2 linked regions of the Rhinolophus ferrumequinum genome follow. The protein of the gene in region 1 interacts with the protein of each later gene in a pairwise test. Links are inferred from orthologs where the notes say so. Each region holds a gene or a part of one and is shown in the gene's direction. Other genes may lie near its edges.

What was found.
Region 2: the proteins of A2M (region 1) and C11H11orf58 interact in a two-hybrid assay, tested with the Homo sapiens proteins (2 studies listed by BioGRID and IntAct). The link is inferred for Rhinolophus ferrumequinum from reciprocal best matches to the Homo sapiens genes A2M and C11orf58.

The regions. Positions count from the first base shown.
Region 1 is NC_046293.1:25,188,874-25,205,141, reverse strand, and holds the start of A2M (alpha-2-macroglobulin), read left to right. Parts: upstream 1-8,043; 5' UTR 8,044-8,129; coding exon 8,130-8,215; intron 8,216-10,534; coding exon 10,535-10,718; intron 10,719-11,651; coding exon 11,652-11,811; intron 11,812-11,970; coding exon 11,971-12,023; intron 12,024-13,621; coding exon 13,622-13,642; intron 13,643-13,919; coding exon 13,920-14,088; intron 14,089-14,537; coding exon 14,538-14,622; intron 14,623-15,963; coding exon 15,964-16,084; intron 16,085-16,268. UniProt on the Homo sapiens protein: Is able to inhibit all four classes of proteinases by a unique 'trapping' mechanism. This protein has a peptide stretch, called the 'bait region' which contains specific cleavage sites for different proteinases.
Region 2 is NC_046294.1:36,838,683-36,855,768, reverse strand, and holds the start of C11H11orf58 (small acidic protein), read left to right. Parts: upstream 1-8,334; 5' UTR 8,335-8,481; coding exon 8,482-8,544; intron 8,545-13,123; exon of another isoform or gene 13,124-13,180; coding exon of another isoform or gene 13,181-13,225; intron 13,226-13,541; coding exon 13,542-13,625; intron 13,626-16,279; coding exon 16,280-16,340; intron 16,341-17,086.

The DNA.
Region 1 (16,268 bases):
TCACAATGGAATGAAACTAAAAATTGATAATAGGAAGAAAATGGGAAAATACACAAATACATGGAAATGAAACAATACACTTTTAAACAAATATTGGGTCAAAGGAAAAATCCAAAGAAAATTAGAACTTATCTTAAGCAAACAAAAATGAAGCACAACAAACCAAAACTTAAGGATACAACAAAAGCAATACTCCAAGGGAAATTTATGGCAATAAATGCTTATGATATAAAAGAAGAAAGATATCAAATAAACAGGCTAACTTTACACCTCAAGAAATTAGAAAATGAAGAGCAAACTAAACCCAAAATAAGCAGAAGGAAGAAGAGCATGAAGATTATAGCAAAAATAAATAAAATAGGGAAAGAAAACTAATTTTAAAAATTGATAAAACTAAGAATTGTTTTCTGAAAAGATAAACAAAATCGACAAACCCTTAGTTACACTAAGAAAGAAGTTATTCACAAAATAACATAAGAAATGAAAGAGAAGATATTACAACTATTCTCACAGAAATAGAAAAGAGCATAAGAAACTATTAAAACAATTATAAGCCAATACATTGGACAACCTATAAGAAATGGAGAAATTTCTAGAGACACAACCTACTAAGACTGAATCATGAAGAAATAGGCTGAACAGATGAATAAGGAGATTAAAGGAGTAATCCAAAACCTCCAAACAAAGAAAAGCCCAGAGCCAGATGGCTTCATGGGTAAATTCTACTAAACATTTAAAGAAGAATTAATACCAATTCTTTTTAAACTCTTCTAAAAAACAGAAGCAGAAGGAACACTTCTAAACTCATTTTACGAATTTAGCCACACAGCCACATCCTGATATCCAAGTCAGAAAAAGTCATCACAAGAAAAGAAAACTACAGGCCAATATATCTGATGAACATAGATGCAAAAATTCTATATAAAAAAAAAGAAAATTACTAACATAGTGAATTGAACACCATAATCAAGTTGGATTTATCCCTGGTATGTGAGGTTCATTCAACATACACAAATCAATCAATGTAACACACCACATTAACAGAATGAAAAATAAAAGATCACATGATAATCTCAATGGGTGCAGAAAAAGCATTTAACAAAATTCAAAACACTTTTGCGTTGAAAACTCTTAATAAATTAGGTATATAAGAAACTTACTCCAACACTAAAAAAAAAAAAAAAACTTATGAAAAGCCCACAGCTAACATCATACTCAGTAAAAATCTGAAAACTCCCTTCTAAAACCCACAAAAATACAAGGATATCTACTCTCTACTCTACTATTCAACATAGTGGTCACAGTCCTAGCCAGAACAGTTAAGCAAGAAAAAGAAGTAAAAGGCACCATATTAGAAAGGAAGAAATAAAATTATCTCTGTTTACAGATGTTATGATCATATATATATATATATATAACTACACACACACACACACACACACACAAACAATTATTGAAACTAATAAAAAAATTCAGTAAGGTTGTGGGATATAAAAATCAGTGTGCTTCTATACACTAAAAACAACCTATCTGAAAGAAAATTAAGAAAACAATTCCACTTACAATGGCACCAAAAAGAATAAAATACTTAGGAATAAATTTAACCAAGGAGGTGGAAGATCTATATACTGAGCTACAAAACATTGATAAAATAAACTTTAAAAACACAAATAAATGGAAGGACACGCTGTGTTCAAGGATTGCGACTATTAATATTGTTAAAATGTCCATATTTCCCAAAGCGATCTATAAATTTAATGTAACCCCTATCAAAATCCCAATAGTAGCATTTTTTGAAGAAATAGAAAAATTAATCCTAAAATTCACTGGGGACTACAAAAGACCCCAAATAGTCAAAATAATTGTGAACAAGGAAAACAAAGCTTGTGGTATTATACTGCCTGATTTAAAAACATATTACAAAACTATAGTAATCAAAATAGTATGGCACTGGCATAAAATAGGACATAGAGACTAATAGAACAGAATAGAGAGCCCAGAAAATAACCCCTCCATATATGGTCAACCGATCTTCAACAGGAGTGCCAAGAATACACAATGGAGAAAAGATAATCTCTTCAATAAATGGTGTTGGGAAAACTGGATTTACACATGTGTTAACCTTAAAAATAAAAAGTGGCAGGCAACAAGTATTTATCTGAGATCAAAAAATAGCTATTCAGGAAGCACTGTTTCAGGCAGAAACCTAGTGTTCTGATTATGGGGTGAAGGCAAAGGGGGTTTATTTTTAAAAGAAAGAAAATAATTACACAAGTAGAAGAAAGGAATTTCTATTGATGCTAATAAGCTAAGTTGTTCTTTAGCTATATATGGCTATTCACTAATTCTAGAGAATGTTTATAATTAGCCCTCGTAGTCAGGTAGTCTGCTTTCCTGTTAGCTTTACAAACAGTTGTTTGGAAGACAATGCTCTAGCCCAGTCAAAAGGTTATTTTGCCCACTTTAAACATTCCAAATGTTCCAGGAGTAAAACATATAATGCAGTTCCTCTGGAATATCTGCCCAACTCCATTTTAAAATTGCTCCACTTATGCCAACTTTTCACATATGCAAAAGAATGAAATTAAACCCTTATCTCACACTACATACAAAAATCAGCTCAAAATGATTTAAAGATTTAACTTTAAAACCTGAAACAATACAACTCTTAGAAGAAAACAAAGGGGAAAAGCTTGCAAACATTTGACTGGGCAATGATTTCCCAGATATGACACCAAAAGCACAGACATCAAAGACAAAAATAGACAAATGGGATTACATCAAACTAAAAAGTAACTGCACAGCAAAAGAAACAATTAACAAAGTGAAAAGGCAACCTATGGAATGAGAGAATGTATTTGCTCATTATATATCTGAAAAGGGGTTAATATATAAAATATGTAAGTAACTCATATAGCTCAAAAGCAAAACAAACAAACAAACAAAAAACCAATAACCTGACTTTAAAATGTGCAAAGGATCTGAATAGATATGTCTCAAAAGAAGACATACATATATATATGAAAAGGTGCTCAGCATCACTAATCCTCAAGGATTAGTCATGTTGATAGAAGGTAACTGGCAGTCATTTAGAAAGGCAACGTGACAATAGCTATAAAAAGTTTTAAATGCATATACTCTTTGACATAGCAAATTCACAGTACAGTTTCATTACACAAAAATAATTTTACATGTCCAAAAGTATGTGTATGGAAGAACAGTCATTGAATGCTATTGTTTGTAGTAAACTGTTTTAAGTCAGGCACTAATTCCTCTGTATCACAAGGCAGAATCCAGTAAAATAGATTTTGTGTGAATATCAGTATACTTTAGAAAACTAAAGGACCAAATGGATTTTAATTTAAAAGATAAAACACTGAACTCTTTGATAATTTTGAGAAACTATGGCAAGCATATTGTTTGAATAGAAATAATCTGAGGGTTTGTTATGCTTTTTATCTCTGTACATTCAAATATTTTTCTCATTTAAGATTTTAAAAGGGGATTAATGAGATAGCACAAATGAGAACACTCTGATCTTTGAGCACATCTCTGGGGATACCTATTTGCCTTTATCTCAGGCAGAGATAAAGCAAATACACTCTCTGATAGAGTAAATATCCAATGCCATTAACCAAGCTTTTTGGTTTTGATGGTGATTAATATATAACCAGCTGAAATGTCTGAAATATCCCTCATTATCATTACCATTAGGAACTACACCAGCCTAAACCTTCTCTTTTCTCAGCCAAAGAGAACGAAATGTAACAATTGGTGCTCTTGGAGATGATCCATTCAGTTTCTGGCAAGCTCTACAACAGTACAAGGGAAAATATTTTTTTCCATTTATTTTTATTAAGGCCCATATACCTCCTACTCCTATTTTTTTCTCAATTTCCTAAGAATCCTCCTTTGCTCTTAATGGCGTGTGTTTTCCTGCCTTTTGTTCCCTTACTTTGTTTTCCGTGAACTTCCTTTCTACTTTTCTCTTCCTTTTCTCTCTTACCCGTTCACCTTAACTTTCTAACAGTAAATTTTTGCTAAATCCTTCAAAGTTGTACAGATCTTGTCCAATTCGTGTCTCCTCTTTTCTGTCAAGGACTTGTTTACTCAGGTAACATAACTTTATTGATTTGGATGCCGTCGTATACCAAGGCCCAGACCAGGTATGAAATAGAGCTCTTCCTCACTCATAAAGATTCAAAATATATTAATTTTCACCAATAGTCAGGTGTACAGTTTTAAAAGCTCTGTTACATCTAGCATCGTGTGTAAAACCACCCCATGAAGGTGATAATACACATATTATTATCCCCTTACTTTTTGGCAAGAGGCTCAGAGCAGTTAACCAGTCAAGTTACCCAGGCTAAGAACCAGGACTCAGGTGTCCCGACACCTGATCCAGTCATTTTTTCCCCTCCAGCTCATTTTCCTTCTTCCCAAAAAGAGTAAGCTCTATCCTGGTGAAAGGAGCACTTCAGATCTAACGTTTATCTTTATCTATGATTATATTGAAATGGTGTCACTTCTCCTGAGGATAACTCCTCCATCCACTTTATTAATACATCCACCTCACTCATCCTCAAAGTCCTTTCTCTTGGGATTGTCGCTTCTCACTCCACAATGTCCAACCTGTCCCCTTTCATTTGATCCTCCCACTCAGCATTTATAGAAGCAACACTTCATTTAAACTTGTTCAATTCTCTCTCCTCTTAAAGAAACCTCCCTCTCAGCTCAACATCTCTGCCCTATCGTTCTCCTCCCCTTCAGACAAATTCTGGGACATTGGTTCCAGGTCTTCACAAGCTGCAATCACGTGTCTGTCCTACAGACACTGAAACAGCTGGGTTCCAATGTGCTTCTTGTCTCTAAATCCAGCAGAATAATGGTCATTCAACCTGTTATTTGATTTCACAGTAGCATTTGAGATGACTAGACAGGGATTTAAGCCATAACAATCTTTACTGATCATCATTGTAATTTATGACAAGGAACCAAATGAATGTTATTAATGTTATTGGTCCACCTCCTACTTTAAGTAACTAATCTTACGAATAAGTGTTTAGTTATGTCTAGATTCTTAAGAACAATTGAAGTTCTATTTTGAATTAACACATTATAAAATCATGCATACTTTTGAAATGATTTTTTTTTTATTTTATGTGGTATTAACATTGATGTCTTGGCATAAAGCCCCAATCACTCTGACTAGTAAAAATCTTTTCCTAACTATTCTTTTCTTAAAATTGTCCCTTCTTTGGGACAGAGTTCCCACCCTTTCCTGGTTGTTTCTCTCTCTCTCTCTGTCTATCCCTATCTCTATCTCTATTTCTATCTCTCCCTTCTTGTTCCATTTCTGTGCCCCTGCCCATCACTTAGACACTGGTGTTTCTTAAGGTGCTATCCTGGGCTCTTTCTCTTTTTATCAGCATATGCTATGTCAGTATTATCATCTATTTTCATGGCATCAGCTTTCCCAATAAGCTGATAAATCTTTAATCTGTATAAGTAGGCCAGATCTCAGTAAACTGGTGGTGTTCAGATTGCTTTCACTTTAACCTACAATAACAAAGGTTGTTCATTAGTTCACAATGTAATACTGTGATCACATTTTCACAAAGTATATATTTTTTACATTGTAACCTAGGACAGTCACAGTTAAGGATAAAGATGATCAGATAGAGATAGTAATAAAGAAAGAGAAATGATACTAGTTAGGATACAAGTTTTACTGCTCTAATAAATAGATCTCGAAATGCAATAGCTTAAATAAGAAGTATTTTTCCTTAAGTGAAAGTATAGGCTACAATGGCCTTTGGATGATTTAGGGACTCAGACTGTGTCATGCATGATATTCTGCCTTTCTCATCACATGGCTTCCATCTTATGTAGACCATACAATAGAAGCTCTGACTACAGTGATCATGTCTACATTCCAGCCAGCGGTCAGGAAGAGGGAGTAGCACAGAATCTAACCCATCCTTTGTAAGTCATGAACTGAAGGCGGCCTACATCACTTCCACTCACACTCCACTCACCAGGACTTAGTCATACGCAATACTGACTTCCAGAAAGAAATGAATGTTTTTAGCTAGACAGTGCCTAGCTTAAACTCAGGAGCTATAGCATGAAAGATACAATTGGAGAAGGGGCAATAGAACACAACCAACAGTTTCTGCTGAAACTATGTGCAACAGATGTTTCCAAACTCACTGTTTCTGTTTGATACACTATATTTTCTATTTTATTATATTATATTTTTTTATTTGCATCCCTTGATTTATTCCTTTATTGTTTAGTGTCCCATTGCCAACTTAAACTTTGAATAAAAGTTGACATTTCTGCAGTGTGCAAGGTGAAAGAATTGCAGGAATGCAGTGAAAACATTAAACAATTAAAACATCATAATATGTAAGAGGGTAATTTTAAACGTTTGATGAAAACTCATTTTCTGCTTGAATTTGAATAGAAAAATTAATTGCCCCACTATTTTTTTCGTAAAACCTTGGTCATGACTCACTAATCATGATATCATAACTCACTATGGACGGTGACCTATATTTGAAAAACATTGCTCTAAACCTACTATGTCAAATATAGTAATCAGTAGCCACATGAGCAACTGAAAACTTGAAATGTGTCTAATCTAAATTGATAGGTGCTGTAAGCGCAGAATCCATACCAGATTACAAAGACGTAGTACAAAAAAAAAATGTAAAGTATCTCATTAACAATTTTTACATTGATTAAATGTTGAAATTATAATATTTTAGATATACTGAGCTACATAAAGTACATTATTAAAATTAATCTGTTTCTTTTTGTTTTTTAATGTGACTACCAGAAAATGTAAATTTACATAGGTGACTCATATTTATTTTTATTAGACCTCACTGCTGTAAGCTCTAAATGCAAATGTTAAACTCTCAATGAATATTAATACTTGTATCCCACTAGCACTTTCTAAAACTAAACTCTTTATCTTTCTAACCCTCAGCTCTCTGTCCTCCTCCTGTTCCCATCCTGTGTTTCCTGTTTCACTCAGTTAAAAGCAACACAATTCATTCAGTAACCAGACAGGAAAATTGAAAGGCACGTTATCCTTTATCCATCACATTCATATATTCAGTGGATACTATAATTTTACCTCTTAAATATGATATACATCAACCTCTTTCCAAACTCATTATGAATACCCTAGTTCAAAACACCATCGTCTCTCACCTACATAACTGCCATTCCATCTCCATGATTTTGCATGATACTGTCCCTACCAGGTACAATAAATACTTATAGAACAACCAAATAGATGGATGATTGAATGGATGGATGAAACAGTTTATATGACTAAAGATTGGTAAGGACCAGCATATTTAGAAGTCAGTAACAAAAATGGTTTATATAGTAGATGGTAAAGGCAACTGGGATCCCTGTTAGGCACAGTAGGTCAAAGCTTATTTATGAGGTCTGTCTACTTCTCCTTCCCTCTTCTCACTTTCTTAATACAGGAAAATGTTTTCAATTATCATTTTTCCAGGGCCTAGCTCTTCACCTGCAATCCAGTAATATCCCTAAAGTCTAAAATTTATTAGTCTAATCCAGTATCATTTCCATAGAGGATTACTGAATTCTGAAACCACTTCAACATTTACGGTAGGCTACTGACTTGCAGTAAAAAATCTATTTTGAGCCTGTCCAGTATTGCTTAAATTGTAGCTTCCCTTACTAACTATTCATGCAAGAGATGTGAGAAAAGGCATAAAAGATTTTGTGGAGGGGAGAGTAAGAGAGAAAAAGGTTTGAAAAGCTGATCAGCTGCATTATAGTAAAACCCAGAGAAAGTGAGCATTTATGGGATATGGATTTTATCCCTCCAGGAATTCTATTTAGCTGGCTGGGAATTAACCTTGACTGTAATTAGGCCCCTGAGAGCAATGACCCTTCCAAAAAGTTTAGAGACTTCTCCTTTGTTTAGACACATTGTGGGGGTGGAACTTCCTGCTTGCTCAGAGAGCAATATAAAACCCAGTTGCTTATAAAACCCCTCTGAAGAATGCTTCAAACCAGACCTACTGCAGGGAGTAGGGTACAATACAGTCTGGTCTCCTCTGGCCCCTTCACCCTGCAGCATGGGGAAGGACAAACTCCTTCATCCAAGTCTTATTCTCCTCCTTCTGATCTTTTTGCCTACAGATGCATCAGTCTCTGGAAAACCGTGAGTTTCACATAGAGCATAAACTTAGAGTCCTTTCTTTATTTTTTGCTGCTATGAATTGGAATACTCTGTGCAGCAACCACTTTATATATCTGTTATAAACTCCTGCTTGATTCATTAATATGCAGTTTTAAGTGTTAAAAAAAAGAGTCCTTTCCTCTATTTCAGGTTCTCCTCGGTATTATTCATTTCTCTTTCCTATAATACTATCAATTTCTTATCTCTAAGGTCTCTTCCAATAATGAGATTTCATAAGTCTGGTTTATTCATTTTTCACTTATTCTTAACCATTTTTTTTCCAATTCTCTGGATCTCTGAATTTCTAAATTCTCTGGGGATACAGAAGGACTATCTAAGGAAAATTGGAAATTAATATGTTTAAAGGAATGAATTTTTAGTTCCTCACATTCATATTAACCTGCTTGAGGCCATGCTATTTATTTTTTCTTACCTCCCCTTACTTAATTGCCCACCTTTCACTTAATAAAAGAAAGACAGACCTCTCCCTCAATCAGATATCACCATGGAGCATTGTCTTGGAGTATAAAAATCTTTAGGGTGCCAAAGAAAGGAACAATTTGAAATATTGACATTGATGTTGAGAAAGCAAAGGATTCTAAGGATGGGGGAGAAAATCCTTTTGCAGATCATTTGGTGACAAGTTCTTTGTTTCAACAAAATTGATGGAAGATCTAAAGGAAATACCAGCTCATAGATAATTAGAAGTCATTCTTGATAATAGGGCACTGGGTGATTTTTGGCATGTGATGCAGAGGTGTTACAAGAACTGATAATAATGATATAACTGCTTTATCTGTCATTTATTTACTTTTATGTTAATAATTTTTCATGTCACTTACATCTACACAAACCAAAAATAGCAACAGAATTAATGTTAGGCTTTGTTTAATTCTTACAATAAGGACTATCCATCCATGGATATATAAAAACAGCTCATCATTTTTTAAAAGTGTGCTTCAAAAGTATTCTGATTTTATATCTAATACGTATGAATTATAATTTGTCATATATTTATTTTGTTTTGATCAGTTGTATATGAGTAAGACTTTTGAAAATAATTCAATCCAGAAGAAAATGTTCAACATTTATAATGTTATGGTCACATTAAATTTAAGAGTTAAAATTAAATTTATATACCCACATATAATATTATATATATATATATATGTACATTTATGTATATACTTGTTATTAAAGGAAGAGTGATCCATAAAGTATTTTGAAGCATAAAAATCTTAGTATAAACTTCTGTGTGGTTAGTGGCATGAAAATTTAAGTTTAAGGAGAAAAAAAAAGAAAAGATGTTAAATTACTGATCATTATGAAAAGAATATGTTGATGTATTTTAAAAAATAATTTATATTGGATATCATATCACTATGATATTTAAAATTCCCTGGGAAACTTATACAAGAGTAATACAAGTTTTAACTTAAAATAGCATCATAAATAATATCTTTTGCTATTATTTATACTTGTGATAGAAAAAATAGATGTCTCCTTAAAATATGTAAGGAATACATACTGTCTAAAAATTATTTTGAGAGTTCTGTGAGCAAAAATGTTTGAAAACTACAGGTCAAAAAAATTATATATGAGGGTACTGGGAAAGTTTCTGATTTGCTCATGAGTTATCAAGACCCAAAATTCAATCACTAGAAGGCCATTTTTGAGTGGAACTATTGTCTAGTCATGAGTTGAAAGGCAAATATTTAAAATGTAAACATCAGGGTTAGGTAACACACTAAGGTTTCAGTAGTTGCTTGTCACAACTGAGACTTTAAACTAATGTCTCACTTGCTTTAAGCCTCAGATTGCACATCTGTAAAGTGGAAAACAAGTACTTGCCATACCATTTTCACAGGGCTATTGAATATATAAATATACTCAATGAAAGTTCTGCAAATTGATTGGTTTCTGTAGTGTCCCACCTGAAAGCTTGTTTGCTTTTTACACGAATCCCAATGTAAAATAGATTTACAATATATAATTAGCATATTTTTAATTTGAGTTCAGATGCTTACATTTTTGGGGTTCCTTACAGTAAGGTATACCTACAAATTTTAACCTATGTAAGGCTTACTTCAAGCAAAATGTTCGCTGCCATGGTACTCATGATGAACTGGGGAATAATTCTCATATGTGCCATTCAAAAACAAAGATTAATTTTATCCTCATCAATGTCTTCTCTTGGTATAGAACTAATGAGAGTAACAATAATTTTGAAGGAAAGCAGTGCTGTTGATAACAATGCCTTTCCTCCTACACTCTCCTCTGACTGGACTCCCCCATTTCCAGACAGTATATGGTGCTTGTCCCCTCTCTGCTCCACACTGAGACCCCTGAGAAGGGCTGTGTCCTTCTGAGCCATCTGAATGAGACGGTGACAGTAAGAGCTTCCTTGGAATCTCTCAGGGAGAATAGGAGTCTCTTCACTGACCTGGTGGCCGAGAAGGACTTATTCCACTGTGTCTCCTTCACTGTGAGTATGACTGACTTAATATACTTAGTTCTATTGGTCAGGGTCCTAGAGATCGAGAGTTCAGCCAAGACAAGGCTTTCAGAGGCTGTCAGGGACTCCAGGAAGGAATCTAAATGTAGCAACTAACTGTAGAAATTAAGAAGCAATGCATAAATTTCCAACCATGGGAAGCAAATACTTACAGCATATTAAAAATCAACTTAGAAATTAATAAAGAAAAACTATTATGTAGTCACACAATGGAATATTACTAAACAGCATAAATGAATAAACTACTAATGCACACACACACACACAAAATCAACTTAATGATCAAAGAAAATTCCTACTAGCCAGTAAAAGAAGCAATATGCACTAGACAAAGGGAAAATGTGACTTCTCCTTAAAATTAAAATGGGAAGATATTAATAAAACAAATTATGCCAATACTCAACATGAGCCTCAGTGGTGGGCTGACAGGAATACATCACCCCATACTCTCTAAGAGAGAAAGTTGTAGAAATTATGATGATCCAACAACTCTTCAGTGTTACTCATATGTAAAATGCTTATAACCTGCAGCAATAAAATATTGTGATTTTCTTTCTCATAACTTTAAAATATGCTTCTACCATGCACTTTTATCACATTCCAACTTGGGAAAGTTCAGTATGTAATTGAACTGAGACTGTATTGGCTGATCTATAAGGTGATGTGAGTCTCACTTATGATTTTTCTGATCTTACTGATCTATTTTCCTTCATCTTGTGTTCTCTCTTCCCATTTGTAAAATGACAGAAGTAACTCCTTTCCATGCCAATTTTCCCTGGTAAGAATGAGGGAGAGAGGTTAAGTAGGAGCGGCAAGATCTACAGGGAAGAGTGGAACAGGGTGGGAAGGGAACGTGGAAGACTGAATGGATTCTCAGAATCTCTCCTGGGACCTGTATTTCAGGTACCAAGATCTTCATCCAATGAAGAGGTAATGTTCCTCACTGTCCAAGTGAAAGGACCAACCCAAGAATTCAAGAGGCGGACCACAGTGTTGGTTAAAAACCATGAGAGCCTGGTCTTTGTCCAGACAGACAAACCCATCTACAAACCAGGGCAGACAGGTAAAAGGAGGCCTACAGTTAGGACTACTTCAACAAGGAAAGATCTTCTTCTCCTGCCTATTCCCCAGTCAAAAGCCCTGTAATCCTTGTTCCATAATAATTTGTCTTACCAACCTAGTTTAAGATTTCTGGGACTCATGGAAAATATTTCTGTTTCAGTGAAGTTTCGTGTTGTATCGCTGGATGAAAATTTTCACCCCCTGAATGAGTTGGTGAGTCCCTAATATCTATATAGAATCATTATTATCTGTATAAACAGGCTGGAAACCTGTTTCTGGCATTGGGGGAGGACCAGATAGAAGAAGAATCTGGTATTGATAACAGTACTTTCTGGCATTACAATACTGCAAGATACTCATTTAAAACAGTATCACAGCAATAAAGTAGTCAATCCTCTCTATCTTGGTACTGGTACTTAGTTGTCACCCAATTAAATGTACTCTTTGGAAAGTTCTCAATTAGGCAAATTAGAAAGATATTTTGAGCAATAGGCACACTAAACCATCAAACTATCAAATAACTTAAGTTCAAGTAACTTTTCAAAGATATAGAATTTTGCAAAACACACCTACCAAAACCTCTTCTATAAAGGAAGATGAGTGAAATGAATGTTTGTTTCTGCGGACTAACACTTGATATTTATGATAAGAAACAACTCTTTCAATTTCAATGGCTATATCTAACCAAAGTTTTAATTTTTCTTTTCCAAATCTATTCCTCCACTACATTTTCCTCTCTTAAAAAGGGGCAATATTTTTCTTCTGGCTCCTAAAACAAAAGATTATGGCATAGTCCTCACTTGTTCTCTTTCTCTCACTCCCACATCCACATCGTCAGAAAATCATGTTAGATTAAAATGTATCCAGACTATTTCTTACCACCTGCATACCACAGCCTCGTCCTGGGCAATATCCCCTCTTAAGAGGCTATTGCAATAGTCTTGCAACTGGTCTCCTGGTTTCTACTTTCACTCCTCTATCTAAAAATCAAGCACTTCATTGTTCACTCTATCAGCTTAATCCTGCTTTATGTTATCTTGGTATTTACCCACTACCTGATAGATATAGATATATAGATACAGATGAAAATGGATATCAAATACATAGATATCTCAAACACAAATCAACTTATATATCTCAAATAAATATACATCAAATATACATATCTCATGTATATTTCAAAGATGTGTGTATACATATATATACCTACATGTATATTTCTTATGTATCCATTCCTATTAGAATGTAAACTCCATAAAAGCAGATGTATTATTCTTTTGTTCATTGTTATATTCTCAGCGCCTAAAATGATACACAGCAAATGGCAGGCACTCAATAAACAAATACTAATTTTTAAAAATTAATAAACATTGATAATAGAGGAGCTATTCCCTCCTTATTCTTGGAATTACCTAAGAATTCTGTGATACATCTTAATATTTGGGTCTGAACACGGTTACTTATAGTTCCGTTAGTGTTTATTTCTCAATCTGTAGAATTTCATAGCAAAGGAGTGTTCTTCACTGGGATGCTGTAAGCAATGAAATAATGTTAGTAAATCCCATTCCTAATGAATGGCAGAACACATATGCATTTGTTGCTCTGAGCCTAGAAAGTTCTTAACATTATGTGTTAATTGCTTATAATAGATTAATAAAAAGTTGTGTAAAACTTAACCTGGAATTTGTGTGTGCGTGTGTGTGTTTTACTACAGATAGAGTTATTCTCCGTAAAGCTGTCTCGCTTATAAATCAGAACTGAGAATATTTGAGAACAATTCTAAACTCCTTCCTTTCTCTTCTGTCTTTCAGATTCCACTAGTATACATAGAGGTAAGCAAAATGAAACATTCCATAAGTTGATGTAAAGTAATACATTTAAGGAAAATGTTCTTATTTGAGTGGTTCTTACAATATTCCAGAAACTTGTCCTTAAAGGAGAAGCTTTCAAACTCATATAGTGCTAAATGGTTCTACTCATCTCCCCTCCCCACCACTCATCACCATCTCGTTTTTCCTCATTGTGGATGATATAAGAGTTTCCATAGATTTCCTTTATTTTCTTTAATGCTCTAGGCTCTTTTGTAAGTTACAATTAATGTATCCATAGGACCCCAAAGGAAACCGCATCACACAATGGCAGAAACTCAAGTTAGAGAGTGGCCTCAATCAATTGACCTTTCCCCTCTCATCAGAGCCATTTCAGGGCTCCTATAATGTGGTGGTACAGAAGGAATCAGGTGGAAGGACAGAGCACCCCTTCACCGTGGAGGAATTTGGTATGGATTATAAAATATGATGGACGATTTTTCTTTGTAGTTAAACATCTGAGGCCTAGAATTTGAACTTATTTGGAGTCCTTTCATTTCCCATGGGTGAAATTAAGTTTGGAGTAGAACCAATTACATCTAACTCTAATGAGGACCATCAGTGATTTGTGACTGGGACTTCATATAACTTATTTATTTTCATAGCAATTTTTAATTTCCAAAAAATGTAAAATATCTTTGTTCCAGTGTAGTCTTCCATAATTCATTAAGGTTACAGTGATTTATCACAGTCCTGCAACCAGAATCTCCATTTGAGAGCAAGGTAGATATATTAGAGAAGAGAGCTACTTTTTCAGCAGCCTAAAATGTTATTAGGAAATTGTTACAGAGAACCTGAAAATACTAATTCCCCAAAATTGGAAAACCAATCACTAACTTCCTTTATCTCCAATCAACAGTGCTTCCCAAGTTTGAAGTCCAAGTAACAATGCCAAAGATAATTACTATCTTGGAAGAAGCAGTGAATGTGTCAGTGTGTGGCCTGTGAGTTTACACTTTTTTAAATCTTTTGAGGGGAATTACTTTAAGAAGACTCAGCACTGGGGATATTTTGGCTAGTTTTTCTAGGAGCAGTGGCAACACAAATAATTTAAATACATGAGAACACCCCATCTCTAGACCTCTCTAGACCTGTTGCTTTCCTACATTTCCTTCTTATTTTCTTACATGCCCTTATCAGCATTATTGTAACTATTGTGGTTCACGCAACTGTTCCTAAAGAGGCTATGCTACTAGGATTGTGAAAGCAATAAAGCTGCGTGTGTTCGCCATACTCGAACACACACACAAATGAGATAGGCTTGAAGGGTAGTGACTTTCCCTTCACCGGGTTGTGGAAGAAATTCAATCACCACCAGATTTTTTACCTGACTTTGCATACATGGTGGAAAAATAGCTTAGATTCAGAATCTATAGAGATAGACATATTACCAAAATCTCATCTAACACATTGGTCTACCTAAGGAATGTTACATACCTCTCTGCACTGCCATTTTTACTAGACGAAACTGGACATGATCTCTCAGTATGGTCCTTTCCAATCTTGAAAATTCGTATTTCCAGGATCTTATCTTCCCATCTCCAGTACCCCAGCAGCAGCACTAGCAGAAAGAGCAGAGAGTGATGAAACCAGTCTTGCCTGAAAACCACATATGTAAAGCACCCACTATTTAGCTGGTTCCCTGCCCTAGCACTGTCTCAGAGTAATGGCCACCAAGTTCCTGGTCCCACATAATTGGTGAGCCAATACTTTTGCAAATAGGGATATAGAGGAAGGAAGGAAATAGAGAAAGAAACAAATATCCTGGAAATCACAGCAATTACCAATGACATATTTATGGCACAATCACATAGTTGTAAAAAGTAAACAAGTAAAATTCTATATAAATAGAGATGGCTACACATGGGGAGAGGATGATGGAAGGAGAGATGCCATCATATTAATAATTTGTATTCGTAGGTAGAATTGAGGGTGTTTGTTTCTTTGTTTTGTTAGTGTTGTTTTTTTTCTCTTAAGAACAGGTATAGCTTTAGTAAAACAAAAGATAGTTTTTAAGATTAAACTGAAAATTAAAAGTTAAAAAAAAGACATGATAAAAGAAGACTGTAGTAAATTTCAGCATGTTGCACTGGAAAATTCTAAAAGAGAAGAAGTGTCATTACTTAACTGTGTTCAACACTGTTTAAGCCCTGCAGATGGGGAAGTATAGATTAGAGGGATGTACAGAGCGTAAATATACTGTAGCTAAAAGAGGACTATAAATAGGTAGAAAATGGGGATATTCAATGTCTTCTTTGATTCATTTGGCAATGTTTTTATGACAGATACACATATGGGAAGCCAGTCCCAGGATATGTGACTATGAGCATGTGCAGAAAGTATAATAATCCTTCCCATTGCTTTGGTAAAGAGTCAGAAGCTATGTGTGAAATTTTCAGTCAGCAGGTAGGTGGAAAACTCTTTCTTCTAGCAACTTACAACCAAGGCATTGTTAATAAGCAGTGAGTTACAACATCGTGCTAGCTAATTCAGGAAGAGAGCAATCTATAAGTGAATTCTATGCTAGCTACAGTAGTTTTCAAAAAATCAGCAACTTAGCACCATAGGAATTATTTATTTCTTGTAATTG
Region 2 (17,086 bases), on another chromosome or scaffold:
TTATCTCTTTCTCTCTAGACTTACATATAGCCATTAGTATACGTGGTATTTTACACACCTCATCTTTTGTCACAGAACTACTCAAAGATTAGGTTTCTAAACTGAGGGAATTATGAGTAATTCACATCCACTGGGATACTTATAACCAAAAAGATGGATAATAACAACAGTTGGCCAGAATGTGGAAAAATTGGCCCCTTCATACATTGCTGGTGAGAATGTAAAATGATGCAGAAACTTTGGAAAACAGTCTGATAATTCCTCAAAAAGTTAACCATGGAGTACTCACACGACCCAGCAATTCCACTCCTGGATATATACCCAGGAGAACTGAAAACATGTTCACACAAAAGCTTGTACACAAATGTTTATAGCAGCATTATGCATAATAGCCAAAAAGTAGCAACAACCCAAATGCCCATGAAGTGAAGAATGAATAAACAAAATGTGGTATATCTATACAATGGAACCTTAGCCATGAAAAGAAATAAAGTATTAATACATGCTACAACATGAATTAACCTTGAAAACAGTATGCTAAGTGAAAGAAACCAGTCACAAAAGATCACATATTGTATAATTCCACTTGTATAAAATGGCTAGAATAGGCAAATCTAGAGAGACAGAAAGATTAGTGGCTGCCTAAGCCTGGATGAGAGGGAAGAAAATAGGGAGTGACTGCTGATGGATACAGGGTTTCTTTTTGAGGTGATAAAAATGCTATAAAATTGATTGTGGTGATGGTTGTACAACTCTTTGACTACATTAAGAAACATTTAGGAGATTTAAGAGGGCGCGATAAACACTGTGCCTGCTTCCTTCAGTGAACAAATTAAAATTATACAACAATCAACCTGGAGAATCATTTGAAGTCTGGCTAAACAGAAGTTTTGTAACTAAGGATATAAAGAAGCCACGTTGAGACTGGTAGGAGGGGCGGAGATGTGGAACTCGCTAACCCAAACTCCATGTGGCGGTTCAGAACCAGTAGGGATATCTTGGCCCCTGAGGTTCCCCCAAAGGAGGAAGAGACCCCAACCCCACACCAGCCTCCCCAGCCCAGAGTACTGGTGCTGGGAAGAGGAGGCCCCACAACATCTGACTGTGGAAAGCAGTGGAGATTCCAACTATCCGGGTGGGACAGAAGGCGGCAGGAAACCCAGGCATCCTCTTAAAGGGCCCATGCACAGACGCCCTCACTACCAGGCACTCACCTTGGGCTCCAGCAGAGGGACAGTAACTCAGAGAGTGTCGGAGACCTGCGGGGGATGAGAGGGGAAGCAGACTGAGTTGTGTGGCTTTGAGATGAAGGCTGAAGGACAGCTGGCATTTTCGCTGTAAGGGGTCCTTCTCCCATGCAGCCAGCAGGCTGGTGCCATCTTTCTTGTATTGAGCCCTCCCCCTACACTTACAGCCAAATCTGAATCTGATTGGTCTGTTGAGCTCTGCAGCTCTGCCCTGCTGACTCACTGGAACCCCAGCCCATCCAATGTCAGAGGCACTTTATCCAAGAGCAGCCAGCCCCATCCAAATTGCACTCTTTCTTGGAAAACTGTCAGAGTCCAACAGACCCCAGATGGGTGGCAACTGACCTAGGTGTGCTCTGAGACTTTTGCTTAGTAGCTTCAGGCTCAGCACTGGCACCAAACCAGAGTTTACATTAACATGGTAACAACTCTTCCCACTCTAGTGACTCCCTGAGACCCTGCATCACCCAACTTACATACCGCATGAGGCTTTATCAGTGGCTGAACCTTAAGGGAGTGGGCAGGTGGCAGCAGGCCTTAGGCTGTCCTGACTTTTTGAGGAGCTACCCCAGGCCCAGTACTAGAGGAAGACATCCTCAGTTTGCAGCATGACCTCTCCCATGAGCTTCCAGGGTTAGCACGGCAGTGAACAACCTCAGATCACTTTGTAGCTGGCCAGTCCCAGGCAGTGGGTGACCTGGGCCTGCCAAGGAGCCCCTCACAAGAGGCCCCAGAACCAACATACTTGGAGATTGGCGTCAGACCACAGCAGAGCACTGCCCAATTAGTCCCACAAGGAGCACAACCAAAGGGCAGTCTTAACAGACACCAGAGCCTGATGGGGCAAATCGCACTCAGTGGGATAAGCCCCTCCCCAGACACAGCAGCCTGTAAGCTGTGGACAGGGCCAAACCCCACAGCCAATCAGCCTGTGGATCAATAATCCGACCCATTAATGTGCCAAGAGCAACCAAGGCTCAACTATAACAGGAGGATACATACAACACACAAAAGGGACACTCTTGGAGCACCCAGTGCAGGTGACCAGGGAGAGGGTGCCACTGGGCCCCACAGGGCACCTACTACATAAGGACACCAGCCAAGACTGGGGGACATAGCAGATCTACCTAATACATAGAAACAAACAGAGAGGCAGCCAAAATGAGGAAATGAAGAAATACATCCCAAATGAAAGAAGAAAACTCCAGAAAAAGTGGAGCTCCCAAAAGATTGTCAGCTGATTTCTCAACAGAAATTTTATAGGCCAGAAGGGGTTGGCACAAAACATTTAATGTGATGAAAAGCAAGGACCTACAATCAAGATTAGTCTACCCAGCAAAGCTATTACTTAGAATCAAAGGACAGATAAAGAGCTTCCCAAACAAGAAAAAGCTAAAGTTTATCGTCACCAAACCAGTATTACAAGGAATGTTAGAGGGACTTCAAGATGGAAAAAATTTAAAAGATCAAAATTATGAATAATAAAATGGCAATAGCTACATATCTATCAACACTTACTTTAAATGTAAATGGATTAAATGCTCCACTCAAAAGACATAGGATGGTGAATGGATAAGTAAACAAGACACTCACATACGCTACCTACAAGAGACTCATTTCAGATTGAAAGACAAACACAGATGGAGTGTGAAAGGATGGAAAAAGATATTTCATGAAAATAGAAATGAAAAAAACAAAACAAAAAAAAGCTGGGGTATCAATTCTTATACCAGACAAAATAGGCTTTAAAACAAAGGCTATACCAAGAGACAAAACAGACCCAGTAATCCCACTTCAGGATATTTATCTGAAGAAACCCAAACGCTACTTCTGGGGGACGTGTGCATTCATATGTTCATTGCAGCATTGTTTACAATGGCCAAAATGTGGAGGCACCCTGGGTGTCTTTCAATGGAAGAATGGATAAAGGGCAGGTGATACATATATATATAATGGAATATTGCTCAGCCAGGGAAGGGAATGGGTTCTTGCCATCTGCAGCAGCATGGATGGACCTGGAGGGAATTGTGTTGAGTGGAGGAGTATCAGACAGTGAAAGAAGATGCAATGAGATTTCGCTTATATGTGGAATCTAAAGAACAAAATAAACAAACAAAACAGAAACAAACAAACAAAAACATTTAATCGTGCACTTTAAATAGGTGAATTATGTGGTATGTGAATTGTATCTCAATAAAGCTGTTATTTAGAAAGCTTGAAGGCACATGCCAAAATATTATTGTTGGAAAATACATGTAATGTAAAAATTAATGCAATAACAATGATCTGTACCTAAATTATATTATACTGGAATGAGGAAGGGGAAAATAGGGCAAAAGTAAAGGTGCTCAATTCTTCACCCACACCGTATAAGGAGTCATGAGACACTGAGATATTGTTTTACTCTTGAGTGGAGTAAAAACTAAAATGTAACCATTAATAGTATTAAAAACTAAATGTATATCCTCCAAATCACTAGAAAAAAGAAACTAAAAGGAATTACACTTCGATGTTAATGGTGGTTACCTCAGAACTATAACACTATAAGTGATTTTTATTTCTTCTTTATACTTTATTTTCCACATTTTTTACAATGGGTTTGTTTTATCTTTGTGTGAGTCTGTTTATCTTTGTGACTCTAAGCTTTTTAAAATCCAATTTACTTTTATGTATTCATTTATGATTAATTTGTAATAGGTTAATATTGTCAGATAATTTAAAATTCAAAAGATATAAAAAGTATGGTGAAAAGTCCCCCTGCTACCAGTGTACCTCAGATCCCAGATGCCACCACCCCAAGCCTGGAGTCTACAAATATTATCACTGACTTGGGTATCTTTAGTGGAAATATTTTATGCATATACATTGATTCTTTTCTTTTGTGTGATTACAAATACAGTATAAAATGTATAGTGTTCCCCAATTTGCTTTTTTTGTTCAACAATATATCTTGGAGACTGTCCCAGATCTGAGGATCCTCTTTCTTTTAATGAGTACACTATATGGATTTGCCATAATAATTTATTTAGCCAGCCTCGTATTGACATATTACTTATATAATTGACAAGAATAACAAAGTAATTTTGAAGGAAAAACTAGAATGTTCTAATTGTAATTTTCCCTTCAAAAAAGGATATCACCCATTGATTTAAGCTCATAAGTTCTCTTTCACAACTTTTGAACTTTTGGAATATTGCTGCTTTATGTATGTATAGACCTTATGACCAGAGTAGAAGATATGCATCAACAATAATTTTATTGAAGCAATTTTATAAGCAAATACATTTTCATCTTCTTTTTAATTCTTTATTCTTGTGAATTTCTAGGTATGCGTAAAATAATCAAACTAATATTGATGTCACCACATTTTAAATCACAGTAGCATGGTGGGAAATCTGTTCAACCAATGGACTAAATGAGAATTCATCTCTCACCATCAACCATCATCAACCACATTTATTTATTTTTTATACCTTGTCTTCAGGATTCTGTTAGACCCTACAGTTCAATGTATATACCTTTAAAATTAACTTCAAAATAAGTCTCATCTCTTAGTCTCCCATAATGGAACAACACATTCTTTATTTTCCCCTTGGCTTCAATGACACTTAACTTACCTCGTTCTACTTCCACATGTATCTTTTAATTTCAGGCTATTTTTCCTCAATCTACTCCTAAATATTCTTTTCCTTTTCTTTTTCAAGTGTTTCTTTTACACTTTGTAGCTTGGGCTACAAACTCCTTGAGGTAAGGAATTACACATTATTTATTCCGGTTTTCTTCAAATTTAGCACACTACCTGATACATACTAAGCACCCTATACAAATGCTGAATTATATTAGCACCGGAAAGTTCATGGGTTTTTGGAGTTGGACAGACTTAAGGAATGAATCCCAGCTTAGCCATTTATTCATTATCTATATGATTTTCTTAATCTTTATCTACAAAATAAAAATTCTTGCAAATTACTGTGAAGTTTTGAGATTAATTATAAAAAGCACCTAGCAAAATGTATGGTGAAAAGATTGCCACGGGGATACGAAAGTCAATTTGGGGAATGTAATCAATAATGTTGTAAAGATTTTGTAGGGTATCCGATAGATACTGGTCTCATTAGGGAGACCACCTCAGGGATGATGTAGATGCCTGATCACTGCACTCTACACCTGAAGCTGAAGCTGAACAATAATGAACGTCAACTACAATTTTATATACATATATAGTTACAAGAAGTGGAGTACAGCATTAGGAAGAGAGACAGTGGAAATGTAATGGCTGTGGGTAATGTCAGAGGGGTAGTGGATGGGGGCCGGGGGTTGTCACTGTGTGAGGGATATAAACGATAAATGTCTAAAATAAATAAATAAATAAATAAATAAATAAATAAATAAATAAATAATTTATGATTTATAACAAAAAAATAAAAATAAATTAAAAAATAAATAAAATGTATGGTGCAGAGTGGATATTAAATAATAGTTATAATTATGGCTCCAGGAACTGTTTTTAGTCTCAGTAGCAGGTTTTTGTACTGAGCATATTCATCAGAGCTTTTATTTGTCCTTTAGGTTGTTAACTATGCTCAGTTATGACTACCCAGGGTTGAGAGAATATTAATATATGCACTCAATAAACATTTATGAATACCTACTACATGCTAAGCACTGGTTATATAAAAAATGAGGACAGCATGGTCTCTACCCTCAGGAAAGTATTTCCAAGTTCTGTTAGCAACATAGTCTCCTCTCCTTGTCTTTATTACCCGAGAAAGAAGGACACTGCTGAGTTTCTGGGCCTTTTATGAAATACCACTCTATTACATTAGATAATTTCATACTTCCTATATTAATTCAAAAAAGTTATTAACTACTCCATAACAGGCATTGTGTTAGAAGATACAGAAACAAAAAAATAAAGATGAAACAATTCCAATCCCAGTGAAGGTAATAATATTTCAGAGTTCTGCGTGGTACAGAGCATCTTCTTGTTTTTACAAAACCAGAAAGAAGAATATTGCTGAGTTTCTATGCCATTTATGCATTTCTATTGCACTGTATAATTTCATCCTTACCTATAGTCTTCTGTATATAAAACTGAGTAAAATCTGATTAAATGATCCAGTCTTTATTATCTCCTATGTTACTTTTGGACTTGTGATCTTGTTTTGTAACTTGAAGATTTAGCCATACGGGTGCCAGTAATTCTGGTGAAGAAATAAAAGACAGGTTGCTAGCTCATAAGCTGTTCTAGACTTTCACTAATTAAAGTTAAAACTATTTAGTAACTACTAGCCTTGATAGTCCATTTTTATTTCAAAATTCTTTTAGCATAGTCTTCTAGTTGAGCATCTCATTTGTTTATTGGTAATAAAGCTAAGAGTTCTAAATTGTATATAGTAATAGTCTGTCAAACCCTTTGGAGGCAAACTGTAGTCCATCCTAGAAAATTCTGTAACTTAACTGCAATTTCATTGTAACTATATTTATATAACCTTCATAGAATCATAGTTACTAGGCAAAATACTTTAATTCATAGTAAAGAGCAAGCAACCACTTCTAGAAAATACTTTTTCTCCTCATGGGCTTCTCTTCTCCTTGTGGTTTATTTTTACCACAGAACTAATTGATTAAGGTGACCTAATTTGGTTATAAATTATGACCCTAGCTGAGATTTTTTTCATATTATCCTAATTGTTATCCCTTTGCTTCCAAAATATAGGAGCACAATTTGGATGTATGACTGCATAAAGAACTATCTTCCACTGGTCCCATTTCTATAGTTCTATAAATGGCTCAGTGATTGTCTGAAATCTAGGAAAGTAATCCTATTGCTACACAGGCAGTCAAATTAGAATAATTGCTGAGTTCAGAAGCTAATAGTTAAGCCGTTTCACAAGCTGCTTTCAGTACAAAACGCACAGTAGATATGTACTGTCATCCCACTTACTGATTTTTGCTTTAAAAACAAAATCAAATTTTTGATCAAGGTTCAGAAAGCTTCACAAGAAGTAAGGACAAGATTCCTGACAGAATGTTAGGGTTGAAGGCAGCCAGGTTCAGGTCTGGTTAAAAATTAAGACACCTTGATACTTGAATAAATCTTCAGTATCCAAATAATACCTTTAGAAACTGCTTTCTGAGTTAGTTAGTTGTTGCTGGGAAGAAGAAAGAATAGGGAAGGACTGCATAATAGGTACTGAAGTTCTTTGGGGGGGGCGGGGTGATGAACATGTCTTGGAACTAGATAGAGGTGATAGTTGCACATCGTAAATATACTAAATGCCACTTAATTGTACACTTTAAAATGGTTCATTTTATGTAATGTGAATTTCACCTCAATTAGTTAAAAAAAAAAGTAAATATTTTTAAAAAGGAAAAGGATACAGGGCTTTCCTGCAAAGAGGGGAAGGCCCCAAAAGTACAATGCCTACACAACAGCAGCAAGGCCTGTAAGGTGACTCCCACTTCACACAAAGCCAGGTGGAAAGCTTACAAAATTTCCTCAGGTGGATCTCAATAATAGCCAATTAACCAGCACTTACCACCATACTGAACTCATTTTGGAGATTGAGAAAGCAGCAAAATACTTATTAGAATCTTCTAGAAAGCTGTACCCTCGGTCATCTAGAAATCCCTACTGAAGAGTCCTATGAGCAATAGAGAACACCAGGGGGGAAATGGAAGAAGCCATATTTTTTTTTAAGGTTTTTGTCTTGGGAGGTTACTCGTGAGGATTCACTAAGCCGCAAACGTTACATTTAAACCTTGGTGCTTAACTATGACGGATACATATGTCAATGGTGCAGCGTCTCACAGCAAAAAGCGAAAACCCAGTCTAAGCCTCTTTTTGTGGTGACAAAGCTTTGCTACAACGCTCACCGCCATACCCATCCGCGGGAAAGCTCCCTTCACCAGTCGAAAAAGGCGGAGCCTCAGAGGACACTCCCGCCACACAGAGCGAGCTGCGCCGCTGGGCTTCCTGGGAATTGTAGTTTTAGTCACTCACCCTTCTCTCTTGTTCAGGCCAGTATGGAGTGAGCCAGAAAACTACAACTCCCAGAGTGCTCTGGAGTGGCTAGCGGCCGCGGCGTGACGACTGTGGCAGAGAAGGCCTGAGGGACTCTGCGTTCTGGAGTGGCGCTGCTTGGTCGGGTGGCAGATAGCAAGCTGCTGACGCCTCGGCTGAGGAGAACGGCGAGTCGGTTCGGCATTTACGGTCGGGTTCCCCGCGACGATGAGTGCTGCCAGGGAGTCCCATCCGCACGGGGTGAAGCGTTCAGCCTCCCCAGACGACGATGTAAATAACAATGGCGAAGTGGATGAGGGTTGAGGCCTACTAAAAGTTAGGGTAGGCCGGGAAGGGTGGATGTAGAAGGAGGAAGCGCCTAAGGTGGCCCGAAAAGGGAGGTAGGACGAGAGGGAAAAAGACCTAGAGGAATGGGAAATGTCTCCCTTCCTTAGTTAGGGTCGGAAGGTTTGAAAAGGTCCACACACTTAAGAGCTAGAGGCCTGCGTAGGATGGGAGATAGAGGAACGAAATACTGAATGGTCGAGAAGTGAAAGAGAATAGTCGAGAGATCATATTTGTCTCTTTGGGAGCTGATGAAGCCTCTTAGTCGGGCATTTCTACTAACGATAGAAACGGCAAGACCCTCCCTGTTTTAAGCTTAAAACGTTCCTGTGACAATGTCAAGATGTTCGTGCAGTTTGGGAGATTTCCGGCCGGGATTATTTTTGCGATGTACTGTTAAGAATTAAACTTAACTGTTACAGTTAGGAGTAAACCCAGAACAGTATTGAACGAAAAAATTGTACCAGGGGAGTAATTTGGTACTGGCGCAAGGTCGTGAGGTCTTAGACGTTGAGACCTGGAAGTCCGTTTTGATGTCAAGTTCCTCCCCTCCTCCCTCTTTTCCCCTCTCCTTCTCCCTCCTTTCCCCGTTTCTCCTCCCGTCCCCTCCCCCCCCATCCCTCAGCTTGTCAGTTTAAATAGCAAACCATTCATTCCTTAAAGTAGTCAATTAAATATTTACTGCTATGCCAGGTGTTGAGAATTCAAAGATGAATAAGTATGTGCTTTTCCTAGACCGTTTTGTGTATCTGTCCTAGCTCTAGCGCATTGTCATGAAGACTGCAGTAACCAGTAAACATACAACTAGGTCCTTCATACAGTGGATAAATGCTCTAGGAACGTTGATGGGGAAATTTTGGGGAGGGGAGCATGGAAAGGTCATCTTTGAAGATGGTGAAAGGACAACATTAGTTTTCTTTCGGTTTATTATTTAAAGAACTGTCAACTTCTGATTCTGAACGTGTAGAGTTCTTTATTTTCTACAGTGCAATTCAGTGCCTTTTATGTGAATTGTAAAAGGCTCACTGAAATACTACTAGTGCATCATCAGTTGTAGCAAATGAGGTGATGTTAAGACCCACCCCCTTTTGGGTGGGTGGTGGGGTTAGGTCCAGAATAGTAAGTAAGGCTCTTTAAGGAAATTGCTTTTAGCTTTGCAGAAAGAGTAGTAATCAGAAGAGATTTGAGGGTGAACAGTTATATAGTAAGGTTTATTCATGCTCTGTGTTCCTATAACTGGCTTTTAGATCTTTTCTTGTTAATATAGTAAGTAATCCAGTACTTCAGCAATTTATCTATGGTTCTGAGTAACCTAGGTCCCATTTTAAAAGCTATTACATTGTTTTCCTCCTGATAGTTAAGTGTGACTTGATTGTTAGAATGTTAGTCACCTGTATTGCTAGACTCAGGTAATTTTTTAAATTGACAGAAAGCTCTTGATGATATTAAGTAATTTAACAGAAAGTTAAGTCTCTACAGCTTGTGATGGGATCGCTTTAAATTAGATGACCTTCAAGACCTTTTCCAGTCTTAAACGCATTCACTGTCTTTGAAGGAGGTGATTGTAGTTGCAAATCAAATCAGGACCTAGTACCTTCACACACTGTCTAAAATTGATTATTTTGCTAATTTTATGTTACAGTGCAATACAGTAACCTATCCCTCCATAGTGATTTGTTTAAGTCAGTTTCTTTTCATATGAATTTTATTTTTGCTGGTAATTGGGAGTTATAGTTAAGTAGTTGTTTTTAAAACATTTAAAAATATTTTAAAATACATCTAAATTGTAGAAAATCAACTAATTATAATATATACATAGTTGATCAACAGTTTCTAATGAACATACATCCACTGCATGTAAAAGATAATCGAAGTTTTCTTTGCCCACTGACTTCACATGTTAAATGGGAGTAACAAAACATTTTTAAAGATGTTAAAAGTAGGTATTAAATCACGGAATCCAACTCTAGGAAAATGCTGACAATGTTAGAAGTAAATTCTGAAATTTAACTGCAGTATGTACTGGAGGTAGTAAATGCATTGCAGTTCTATAGTAAAGGGTATTAAGAATGCTGACAACTTAAAAATAGTTTTATTGGTTTGATTGGAGTGGAGAAATGAAAGTTATCTTTTAAGGAGAAGTGGGGAGGTTAATTTTAGTCAGTGGTGGAGAACCTCTTAAGAAAGTGCCCATGTGCCTTTCAGAATACACCACTTGGATAAGGTACCTGCTGTTATATGCTAAGGTCTTTGAAAGGAAGAACCAGAAGGACTTCATGATTGAAAAAAACATGAAGATTATAAATTGTAGATGATAGGGTTATTTATGTGAAGACATTGATGACATTTGCTCTTAATAGAGAGTTTGAGAAAGTTGGGGGTTTTAGACAATTATTTTTAACTTAATTTTATATATCTTTATAACTGTAGTTCATAAACTACTTTTACATATTCTGTCTCATTTGATCATGTACAGTATGATGTGGAAAAAGCAGAGGACTTAAGGCCAGAGGATCGAAGCAAGTCCCTTAGCCTCTTGCTTCAGTGTCCTCATTTATTAAATGGACTCTTAAGAGAATGTAAGTGAAAAGCGGTTTGTAAGTTGTAAAACACGAGGCAATTTTTAGGTGTTGTTATTAAGACAGTCTTTTAAAGAAGCCTCTTTAAGCCTTTTTAAAGAAGCCTTTTTAATTCGGTATTAAAGAAGCCTTTTTAATTCGGTATCGCGATACCGAATTAAAACTAAGAAGTTAAATGCCAGGTCCAGATTCACAGAAAGCAGGTAATTTAGTGGGAATCAGAACTTAAGCTTTACTAGTAGTTTGATTCTTATTTTTTAACATATTGAGCCAGAAATAGTTAAGAATTAACTGGTCTGTGAAAAGAAATAAGATGTCAGATGGAAAAAAGTAGAAATTTGGAACTTAGGTAGCCAAAATTATGAGAACGTATAACCTCCCCCACCAAAAGAAATTTAGAAGAGTCATAAGTGGATGTTGATTATGGTACAAATACTTACAACTCCTAAGCCCAGGAGAAATGGTCATCATTGTTTTATATTCTATTAGCCTTTTACAAATAATTTTCAGAAGTAAGAATAAAGGGATAGTGAAAAACAACCATTAGAAATTCCTATATGAATTTAACCATAAAAACCAAATTTCTGTCCCACATTTTCATGATATATAATCCCAGAATGATTAGCATCCTCTGAATACATCTAACAATTTATCAGTTGTCATGTGTGAAATGCATATAATTTCAGATTTCAAATCTATTTTTAATAGATGTTAGCTTTATTATGATGCTATTCTAGTTCTTATAGTTACATCATCAAAATATAATACTACTTGAATTTTTTGAAACCTTTGGTAGCTCATGATTTTATGTTGAAAGGGGGTTATCTTGAGAAAAAGAGGATGGTCCAGGCTCTTATTGCAAAATATTGCAAGAGAAAGTCCTTCCTCCTTTTGAGTGACTTTCTAGATGAGAATATTATGTATCTTTTTTGTCCCCGCCCCCTTTTTTTTTCTGTCTTGATTCCTGGATTGGAGAAAAGTTATCTAGTATTTCGTCTTGCAAATAACTCGGTCTAAAATTTTTGCATATACAATTTTTCCACCATGATTAATTGAGAGTATACCATCTGTCATTTTTCATTCACCTATTTATTCAGAAATGCCTTCTGTCAATTTTCAATTTTTTTACCCACTTGCCATTATGGGTAGAAATGAAAAATTCTGAATTATCAGCTGTGTCCAAGGAAAGCTAGAAGTAATCAACAGAGGGGTGATTCTTGAAAGATGATGCAATACTTTGGACAACACAATGAGAAAACTCTTCTACCATTTTTCTATTTTCTTATTATTTTAGTCATTTTTAGCATAGTTGGGAATAAATGATGAATTATAATGAAATAATTCTTACCTTTGTTTGAAGATGTAGGGGATTAAAATGAAATAATTCTTACATTTACTCAAGATGTAGGGAAAAATAGCACTAGGATTCCATATTTGGATTTATAAAAGGGTTCAATATTTTATATTGATTGACCCATTTGATAATTATAGAATGAGTTTTATTTTGTCCTTTTCAAAAAATTAATTTTCTCTTTGTTTGTTGGAAGACTTCTAAGAATGAAAGTCTGAACATATTTAATCCTTACAAAAACTAGAACTGCTCAAAAAGAAACTGAAAAACTAAAATGGGGTCCAGTAGTCTCTGATGTCATACTGTCCTTTAGAATATCACTAAAGCCAGAGTTTTTTAACTTCAACTAACAACTACGGCAGCTGTCTGGGTTCACAGTACTAGGTGCTCTAGGGCCCTGTAAGGCTCTGGATCTGTAAGTCTCAAAGTGGGGTCCCCCACATCAACAGCAGCCTCACTGTTTGTTAGATATGAAATCCACAAGCCCCATCTCAGACCTGCTGAATCTGAAACTGTTGGCGTTTCTAACAAGTAGTCTGTGTTCTAACAAGCCCTCCAGGTGATTCTGATAGAAGCAAACTTTTGAGAATTACAGGTCTGGCTGCAAAAGAACTAAAAGATTCTACCTTGAGGTAACAGAAAAGGAGTACAGATGCTCTTCCCACTTACGATGTGGTTACATCCTGATAAACCCACTGTAAGTTGAAAATACTGTAAATCAAAAATGCAAACCTAACGTACCAAACAGCAAAGTTTAGCCTGGCCAGTTTATACTGCGTGGATATCATTTTTGCACCATCGAAAACTCGAAAAATATGAAGTGGAACCATCGTAAGTTGGGGACAGGCTGTATATTTTAATTCAAATGTGATGCACATGCTTAACTTTCTAAACAAGAGAGAGCCCTGTTTATAGTTAAAAGTGACAGGGAAAAAACTTAGGATTTATTGGTAGACTTTAAAATGTTTAATATTTATTATTATGCAAAATTAATTTACTAATTTCTTTTCTAGCTTGGCTCTAGCAATTGGGAGGCAGCAGACTTAGGTAATGAAGAAAGAAAACAAAAGTTCTTGAGACTTATGGGTGCAGGAAAGGTAAGCATCAGATAGTATGCATTATTATCTTTTCTGTGAATATAATGTCCTTTTTTGTATAAAATGAGAAGGACGAAATATACTTGGATCCTATTTTCCTGTTATGCTAGATTATTTTAGGCTTTGGGAAAGAGAACTGACCTAACCAAGCATTTAAAAATTTATAGTATTTCTTAGGATTCTCATGTCCTCTGGGCAGTAAGGTTTAGAGACTATGTAGAACAAATTTTTGGTTTGAGGAGACACCTGTGGAAGAAAGAAGGTGCTAAAGATTATGATTTGCCATTTGTTCACCTGATGATTTGATACAAAGTATTTCTGGGCAAACCCATTTGGTAGGTCTTTCATAGTTTATAACTCCAGCCCTTGAGGTAGTAGCCAAGGGAATAGCCTTTATGAAAAACCTAATATTTAAAATGTTCAACATATTTTGAGAAATCCCTTTCAGTTTGATTAACATAATAGGCATAAAAGATAGAGGTGTTGGGAAAACATCGCCTATTGGGGAAAAACCCTTCTTATTCTTAGCAGTTCATTTTTACATGCAAATCTCATGCTTTCTAGATGTTTATTTTTTTATAAGCAAATACATTTATTTTCCTAACATTGTCACGGTAGTCTTCCTACAAATCTAATGTGGAAGAAGTAGGAAAACTTTTTTCTCTTTTAAGATCCTTAAAATAAAATTCTGCTTTGTATTTTTGTTACTCATATAGAAATGTATTTGTGCATTTTACCAGCAATTATTGACCAATATATGCTGGGCACTGTACTAGGACTGGGGTGGGGCTTACATAGATCAATAATGCAAGTTTGGAGCCATGATGTAATGGAGGAAACTAGATAATAACAATATGGAATTATAATTGCTATGAAAGAGCTATGCATGTAGTGCTATGGGATCAGCAGACAAGGGTAGCTATGCTGTATGGCTTAGCTATAAAGGAAGCTTCTCAGAAACACAATTGATGTGAATCTGAAAGGATGAGGAGTTAGACTACAACAGTGGGGTTGGAGGTAGGAAGAGGAGATGCACAAACATAAAGACCTATACAAAGGAAGTATTTGTATAATACCTCATTAATCCAAATTTCCCATAATTTATAATTTATCATAGAAAGTAGCCTGAAGTTTGTCTTGGGTCATGCAGGTAAAAAATTTGCTAAGAATATATAAAGTAAATAATAGTTTAGGGGGCATGCTCAACCTAGTGTAATGAAAACTCTTTAATTACTTAGGAAGAACACCTTAATGCAAAAAGTATGAAATTTAGCTACCAATAGTCAATTATATCTCAATAAAACTAGAAGGTATAACAGATTGAAGGATCGAAAAAGAAATATGGCTACCAATAAATTAGCTGTTTAGCATACATTAAATTCTTTGCTAGCAGGGCAAAGATTGTAGCTTTGATCTTTTTATATAGGCTGATTAGATTTATTCTGTTTTGTGGCCACAAAGTAGATCCTAATCCTAGCCAGTTACATGAGTATTTTATTGGTCACAAGGAGAACTAGCTGGGAAGGTACGAAGAGACCAATGTAGTACTATTATCATCCTAGAATAATTTGGTGCCATTATATATTCTTATCTTTTTAATGAGGTGTCTTCTGCATTGTAAAGAAGCAGCATATTGAATCATTGATTTGCTTATATGTTAATGGCATGTAAGGCAATAAGCATTAATGCTTGAAGCTTTCAGTAGTGTCATTTTTGGGTTTGGAGAATGTGTCTGTAATCCTTTCACAATAGGATGATTTGTTAACTATCTTCACAGATAATTAAGGTTGCAAAGTCACTCTGTTTTAATGAACAGTTTATTTCTTTACCTTATGAAACTGATACGAACCATAAATAGTGGATTGGAACTGATAAATTGAGAGTACTAATTATGTATCCAAATCAATTGGTAACTTTGAATCAGATTTATTATGTTCTATAGAACTAAGATTGTTTTAAATTGTGTTCTTTTTGACAATTTGAGATTGAGTGTTCATTGTAGTCAAATATTAGGTTGGTACAAAAGTAATTGCAGTTTAAAAGGTTAAAAATAATTGCAAAAACCAAAATTACTTGTGCACCAACCTAATAGTAATGAGTTAGCTATTTGATTGTGATATGTTGTAAACAGTAATGACTATTTTCATTTTTTATATTTTAAAGAGCTGTCACTTTGTTCATTATAAATCTTAATTTCATTTTTATTTAGCTAAATAATCTCATTTGCTTTGTCTCCATGAGACATGCCTGAGGCATCAGAAAGAGAAGGTGGAAAAGTTAGAGTAACTCGTTTAACTGGCCTTTTAGGAAAGAAAATGTTTAGATTCACTTAATTTTCTAGTTTTCTATCCTTCCCATTTGAAATTCCAACTTGATCTCTATATACTCTCTACCTCTTTGCCCTGCTCTGTTTTTGTGTATTTCAATAACATTTACAATCTTCTAAGGCACTATAATTTACTTAACTGATTTCGTCCCCTCCCCATCCCTATCCTTGCTAAAATGTGCTAAGTTCCATAAAGATGAGGATCTTAATTTAATCTTTTGTCTGCAGTGTATCCCAGAAGCCTAGATTAGTATTGGGCACGTAGTAGACACTCAGTAATTATGTTAAATTAATGGTCTTAAATTCTAATACATTTTCTGCCTTACAGAAAGAACATACTGGTCGTCTTGTTATAGGAGATCATAAATCAACATCTCATTTCCGAACAGGTAAGACACTAAAATATAATTAAAGTAGAGTTGCTAAATTTGGAACATGAGATATTTGTACATACTTCAGGATATTCTAACTCCTGTGTATAATAGTGTTGACAATTAAAATATTAGAATTGGAAATGTATGTAGTATATGTAAACATGTTACATATATCATGTAACAATTAGTATTTACTTTGATTTTTAAAATATTTGGGAGTATACATCAATATGATGTTCTGACTAAGAAACTGACCCTTTTCTGTCTTCATTTTTACTGATTATAACATATATTTTAATTGTAGTGAGGTCTTATGCCTAATCTTTCCAACTGTAGTATGTATTGAATTTATGTTTTTTACTTTATAAATTATTTAGCATATAATGTTATAGTTGGCATATTATACTGATTTACAGTTTATTCACTAAGTTTTGCTCCGAAATCTTTGAAGACTATGAACTCATTGCAAAGCCTAAAGAAATTAACTCTCGTGGGGAGGAAACTTTTAAAAAGAACTGCAAATGAATTTGAATTCGTTGCTAAAAAGGGCAGTTTTCTCAACTATATAAAATTGACCCTAATCTTGGACCTTAATAACAACAGGACATAATGACCTTGGTATATTTAACAAAATTTTTAATTAAATTATTTAAATTAGCTTTATACTGACCTGGAATATGTAGCACATTTTAGAAATTAATAGGTCTTGTATTTTTCTGGTGTTAATTTCAAATTGATTTTCATTGCTACAAAAGGTTTAA